Coturnix japonica: one gene and its partner. The protein of the gene in region 2 purifies or fractionates together with the protein of the main gene of each other region. This does not show direct contact. Links are inferred from orthologs where the notes say so. Each region holds a gene or a part of one and is shown on either strand. Other genes may lie near its edges.

Evidence for each region. The genes of interacting proteins can lie anywhere in the genome.
Region 1: the proteins of PLEKHM1 (region 2) and VPS41 purify together in Homo sapiens (affinity purification with western blotting; 4 studies listed by BioGRID and IntAct, with this or other methods). This does not show direct contact. The link is inferred for Coturnix japonica from reciprocal best matches to the Homo sapiens genes PLEKHM1 and VPS41.

What each region holds. Positions count from the first base shown.
Region 1 is NC_029517.1:77,293,919-77,296,417, reverse strand, and holds part of VPS41 (vacuolar protein sorting-associated protein 41 homolog), read right to left. Parts: intron 1,417-2,499; coding exon 1,317-1,416; intron 623-1,316; coding exon 578-622; intron 1-577. UniProt on the Homo sapiens protein: Plays a role in vesicle-mediated protein trafficking to lysosomal compartments including the endocytic membrane transport and autophagic pathways. Acts as a component of the HOPS endosomal tethering complex.
Region 2 is NC_029542.1:1,138,061-1,142,501, forward strand, and holds the start of PLEKHM1 (pleckstrin homology domain-containing family M member 1), read right to left. Parts: upstream 2,903-4,441; 5' UTR 2,821-2,902; intron 1-2,820. Other genes in the region: leucine-rich repeat-containing protein 37A-like, read right to left, coding at 3,958-4,164. UniProt on the Homo sapiens protein: Acts as a multivalent adapter protein that regulates Rab7-dependent and HOPS complex-dependent fusion events in the endolysosomal system and couples autophagic and the endocytic trafficking pathways.

The DNA of each region.
Region 1 (2,499 bases), on a different chromosome or scaffold from region 2:
CTTGTTTGAGGATGCCACAACAGATACTCTCCTGGTCAAACTACTATTTCTCAAGATGCCTAGCATCTATATTGGTATTTCTTATCCTTAGCAGAATGTACATCTTCAAAAATGATATATTGAATTTCTAGTTTCAAGACTAACTTCAGAAATGTTCTTAAAGTGTTGTAAAAAGCATATCACATAGAAGCTTATAGCCTGAAAGTTCAGTCTAAATCGCAATACAAATTTAAACAAAATTTGATGGGATCTGCTTTGATTCATGATTCTGACAATCTTTGAGGATATGCATGTTGACTAATTAAAGTTGCTTTCCATTCCACATACCTCAATACAGGAAATAAAATAATCAAACATGAGTAAAGAAGAAGAAAGTAAGTCTGGGTTTACTACAATCAAAAGGTTCAGATTAGACTCCATTCCCAAATAAGAGTTCATAAGCAAGCTTTGCACAAGAGACTACAATTTATACAGCAATTATCAAGGGAGAGTATTACACGTTTCTATGAATAGCAGCAAACAGTGGATCCTCTAAAAATAAAAAATAGCCTCTTTTTCTTCCAGAAAAGCATCCTACCTGAGGGAAGTATTGGAGACAGGCATGATTCACAGATATTTTCCTCTGGAAAAAAAAAAAAGAGAGAGAAAAAAAAAAACTGAAGTAAAAACTAAAACAGGCATTTACACATTGCAATTACAGAAATGGATCCTACAGTATTTACTTGAGATACTCACCACAGACCATGGGAAATTAGAGAGAAACTCTAAAGCAGCATTTCTGTTAACAGCAGGAAAAATGTACAGATTCTCTGACTTTGGTGCAGGAAGAACTGCAGGAGCTAGACCAATATCAGAGCAGTAGACACATAAGGCAAACTCAAATAAAAAAGGAAGCATAAGATGGGTTCCTGACTTCTCTGCTGTATTTTTCCAGCAGAAGCTCTGATCTTCTGTCTTTCTATCAGCTCCTGGTATTAACCTGTGCAAATCACAGAACTCCTCATGCACGTCAGTAGAGCCTCACAAAATATTTTCAACCATTTTTAAAAACTATCTTGTTGCAGAATACTTGACTATCTGTTTTGGCACCAAAAAGCATTTTCCATCTTTACAGACAAATTGCAGGATGCAATATGTAATATATTGAGCAAACACAAAGCTACATGATGAATCTTGTCTCTACAAATAAGATCTACAGTCTACAAAAGAAAAAGTAATACTCAGGTTTTCCAGCAGCTTTCTAAATGGACTGTGACATGGCTTAGGTTTATAACCACAGAAAAGACTTCGAGTCACCACATTTCCCCTGTACCCACCATCTACCAGAACACCCTTCATTTGAGTTCGATGCATTTTCTTTAGCAAAGAAAGAGAGTCAGCAACAAGAATCTTCTTGCAGCCTTCCCGCAGCAAGATCTGTTATGCAAAGAACACAAAGTACAGAAAATGTTAAACAGGTAACACTTTCCTTGATTTTTTGGTTTGTTCTCACTCCTGCTACCTGAAATGTAAAGCAGAACAACATGCATTGGATGGGAAAAATGATAGGAGTTTACACATGATTGATGAAAGACAGGCTGGGCATAATAGGAGAAAACATTCCCACACAGTCAAACATTTTACTATTGCTGAAGAGTACGGGAACTTCCCCAGGTTCAGAACTGATTTTTTTCTTGTTCCTCCAGTGAAGAAGATGCTCTTGTACAGGAGCTCCAGTTAAATACCGTTCGCTTCCAGAAAAAAATTAAAAAAAGATTTTATTCCAACTGAATCCTAACTTTCAGCAGAAAAAAAACCATCTTGTAGTTTTCAGAATTTAAAAGGACTGTTGGACAAAATAAAGGCAATATAGCTGGTGGTTGCTCTTATCTATGTAAATACAAGATCAGTTTGTAAAGTCACACTGACAACAACTTTTCAGTTACAAAGAGCTATGTTTTGATTCTGTGTTTTTGGAAGCACTTTTAAATGCAAGCAGTAGAGCTGGAAATCACTAAGCTTTTCTCAGGATATCAATACGACTTAGGCCAATTTGGTTAGCTGGCCATAGTTTGAATGATAATTAGTTACACTGAAAATGCTGACTGGAGAAAGGTGATTTATTTGCTGTTAAATAGAAAATGCGCTAGAAACATGCCACATCAATAAACTACAGGTTCCTTTTTAAGACAGCCTATATTCAAGAGTTTACAAAGCCAAACTAAGCAGCTTGTGGTCTATTTCATCTATAAATTTATGGCACTGAAGAATTAGATTTTGGGAGTTAGAAATAAAAAAAATAAGTTAGACCACACTTGATAAACACTGTTAAAATGCAAACAATTCTAACTTTATCTTTACTGTCCACGTAATCATAACTTTGTTGATGAACGTTACTATACATAAACACTAAAATTGCTATTACAGCTCTGTTATGGTATTAATCTATTAACTTCAATAATGACTAGCAGAAAATTATCAAAATGTTTCTCAGGAAGGGAAGAAAAACAAAAAAAGGCA
Region 2 (4,441 bases):
GGAGCAGTCTGCGACTATTCCTTTGGAAACTCCGTGCTTGCTCGTTTCTAAGAAGAGTCTTTGCTGACCCTCTTCTCAGCCAACCGTGTACTTGTGATAGATCTGTCCGCATTCTTTGGCATCTGTCCCGCATTCCTCTGCAATAGCTGACACTTGTCCCTGCTAGCGACAGCTCTCCAGCTCTGTTGGAGCTGCTGCTGCCTCCAGGCTCCTAGAGAAAGCCTTATGCCATCAGCGCTGCCCCTCCACACACCCAGCCAGCAACGGCATTTGCACAATGGTCTTCACACACGCTTCGTCGAGGGACCCTGGTCTTGGGCTGGTGAGTGATGTTGGATCCATGTATGACCAGGTGATCCTTGCTCGGTAACTTTTCCAATCATTAGCACGACCTTCCGCTGGCCAGTTCTGTAAAACTAATGGCACAACCACCTGAAAAGTCTCAGAAGCGTCCCCCACAACACTCGTCACTGCGGTATTAAGAAAGGGCTTTTGCCTTCAGCTGCACATGGCCACGAACACATTCATCTGTAATGTAGGGGCCCTTCCCCAGAGTACGCAGCGAGGCTGAGGCCTGGACACGAACACCCTGACGTCATACGCCACCATCAGCCGCTTCTGCCCCCAGGGCACTCTCCTCACTTGCCTTCGCCTGTGCCCGCATGCGCCCCCAGTGATTTCTTCAGGGACTATTCAGTCCAGCAACCCAACCAATGGAGCGCACACATTGTAGCGTACAGCTCATCTGATTATTTCTGCTGACTGCGATCGCAAACATTGCAAGAAATTGTAAAGATACACAACTGCCTCTACATAACATTCCATGTAGCTGTAGTGGTTGTAATCGATGGCTCCATCTTCTGCTTCCCTAGACCCTTAACCTTGGTATTGGTTTCCCTTGTTGTTTTTATTCTCTTTTAGGAGATGCGCAAAGCGATTCCACAAGCCTGTTAATGCCAGTTGGAAAATTTAGAATGCCCCAACCATTTTAGAAGCTTCATAATTTCTTTTAAGAGCAGGAAGGCTGTTTCTATTTGAGAAAGGACAACAGACAAACCCTTCGGCTTTATCTACCAATAAAAGGACTTTAGCGTTCGTGTGTTTCTTTTCCCCTTTTCCTATATTCCAATCTTACCCTAGGTGCCGGAGAAAGTCGTAGAGTGTGTGCCCAGCCCATGAGGAGTGCGTGCTGTAGATTCCTTGGTTACCAGTCAAGCTCCCCATCCTCCATTTCCTATCCTGCAGCAGATGGAGACACTGGTGCGTGCCCTTATTGGAGGCCGAGAGGGACAAAATTCCATGCCTCCATTTCGAGCGAGGCTCCCCTTTAACTTTCCAGGCGAAGGGACACGTGTGTTATAATTCACTGCCCCACCTTATCACCAGTGTTTATTCTGTGGACCTCGCCTTTTGATAAAATGCCTGATCCCCAGGAGGCCTTGAGGCGATCTGTGGGCCTCGAGAAGAGAAGGAGAATGTTCGAGAGTCTCATATAGATGTTTATTTATCTAGGACTCCAGCCCAGCCAAGAAGCTCCTGGTGGCGTAAAAGCCGGAATCAATGGAAGTTTTTCCATTGCTGACTCGCACAAAGTTTACTGGGGGATTCAGACCATTTCGCAGATAGTCTGATATAGCGCGTGAGAGTAGATTCTGGCCGACATTACAATTCGGTCCCCCTGGCGGATTGTAACCAGTGCGTATCTTTTGTGTTGTTTGTCGTGTGTTAAATTCTGCTCAACTCAGTTTAACCTCTGTGACGCTTCTAATAAGTGATATAAGCTATATCCTTACTCTTGCACCGCCATATGTGACCCCCCCTCCATTAACTGGCAGGCGAACTGTTAACACCGCTTTCGTTGTAATACCTCCTCCGTAAATGCGAAGGGGCTCGTCACTGACTCGTCAGCTCTTTGAAGCCCCCCGGCCCCCACCACCGTAGAGGTGTAATTTCATGAACCAGGCCCTTCAGCTAGAGATAAACCGGCTCGCCAGTTTCAACAGCAAGTATGCCTTTATATGAATGTAAAATTATAAGGAAAGAAAAAAAACACCACTGGACATTCCTGTCGCATATGGCTACTCGTGAAAAAACAGGAACACCATGTAGGCAAACCGGCTATGGGATCTCTGCACTCCCGAAAGGACTCGGAGGTACTCCGAAACCGACGCCCGATGTGTATCGCAGCACCACAAGGCCATATTGGATGATGGGCACTGGGATGGGATAATATGGGATGATCGGATATGATGGGATATGGGATGGGATGGAGGAGAGCTCAGCCTGCCCCACAGATCCCACAACACCCCACAGCTGTGGGGCAGCAGCTCCGATCCCAGCCCCTTCCAGCAGCTGATGCAAAAGGTGTCAAAGTGCTGCAGGAGCGTCACCTCCCCTGATTATGCCGATCCTCCCTGTTAATGGCCCAGCAGTCCGACCTGTTATGGCCGAGTCCGCCCTTATGGCTAGTCCTGCCCTGTTATGGGACGAGTTCTCCCTTATGGGCACATACCTACACCCAACACCAGGACCAAGTGTAACCATGTCAACTCTGGTTATAGGGAATCCAAGGAAGACCCAGAAGCAGCCCCCATAGAAACCAGACTAGAATGCCTCCAGGAGCCTATAGCAGCCCCATAGTGACTAATGGGTCCATAGGGCCTATAGCAGCCCCACTGCGGCCCAGCACCCACCGGACCCCATCAGCAAACCCAACATATCCCCAGCCCACATCGCCCCCAATTTCCCAACCCATGCACCATCCCATCCACATCGCCCAATCCACATTACCCATTACCCATCCCCACCACCCCCTCTCACCGCCTCCACGACCCGGCCGGGAAACCCGGAAGTAGCGGCTGTAAGCCCCGCCTCCTCGTGACGTCATCACGCAAAGGGGGCGATGCTAAGAGAGGCCACTCCCAACATAGAGTGGGCCGGGAACTTGAGAGAGAATTGGCGCGCTCTGGGCGGGAAAAGGGCACGTGGGTGAGAGATGGGTGTAAATAGAGCTGAGTGTGTATGGACACATGGACACCATAGAGAGCACCATATAGACCACCCCTAAGATAGAATACCCTATAGAATACCCTATAGAACACCCATAGAAATCCCATATAAGTGAGAACACACATAGCCACACCCCAACTATTAAACCACCCCATAGACCACCCCATAGAACACCCTATAGCACACCCCATAGAACAGAACACCCTATAGACCACCCCATAGCACACCCCATAGACTCACCCCATAGAATCACCCCATAGAATCACCCCATAGAATCACCCCATAGAATCAATCACCCCATAGCAACCCACTTAATCACCCATAGACGCGACCCATAGAAACACCGCTTAGACACCCATAGAGACCCACCCAACATAAACAGAACACCTTATAGAGCACCCCATAGAGCACCCCATAGAACACCCTACAGATCACCCTATAGCACACCCCATAGAACACCCTATAGAAAACCCTATAGAACACCCTATAGCACACCCTATTGCACACCCTATAGACCACCCCAAAGACCACCCCATAGCACACCCCATAGACCACCCCATAGAACACCCTATAGCACACCCTATAGAGCACCCCATAGAACACCCCATAGAACACCCCATAGAACACCCCATAGCACACCCAATTAGTAGCTACACCCTATAGAACACCCTATAGAACACACACCCTATATTATTATTATAGCACACCCCATAGCACACCCCATAGCACACCCTATAGAACACCCCATAGCACACCCTATAGCACACCCTATAGACCCCCTTACAGATCCCCCCATATCACACACACCCCATAGAACACCAATATCCTTTAATATCAAACCCAGCGGCTCCATCCACCCCATAACTCAGCACATCCCCCCCCACTGATCCCCATGGCCCCTCCCTCCATTCCGGGGCTCTATGGGGTGGATCCATCGGGGCTGTGGGATCACGGAGCCCCTTTGCTGCCTTTGGGGTCGGCTGTGGCCGCCGTCCCGTCCCGTTTTGGCCCGGCCCCATTGAGCAGCTCTTCATCCTCCTCCTCCTCGTCCCCCGGTTCCCGGTACAGCTGCTGGATCGAATCCTTCTGCAGCTCATTCAGGGGCAGGTAAAGATCCCGCAGCCACTGGGGATCGTCCTTACTGCGATCGGAGCCCTGAGAGCAGCGGGGAATGGGGACGGCTCAGTGTGGGGCGGCTATGGGGCAGCTATGGGTCAGCTATGGGTCAGCTATGGGTCAGCTATGGGTCAGCTATGGGTCAGCTATGGGTCAGCTATGGGTCAGCTGTGGGGCAGCTATGGGGCGGCTATGGGGCGGCTATGGGTCAGCTATGGGGCAGCTATGGGTCAGCTATGGGGCAGCTATGGGTCAGCTATGGGTCAGCTATGGGGCAGCCATGGGCAGCTATGGGGCGGCTATGGGGCGGCTATGG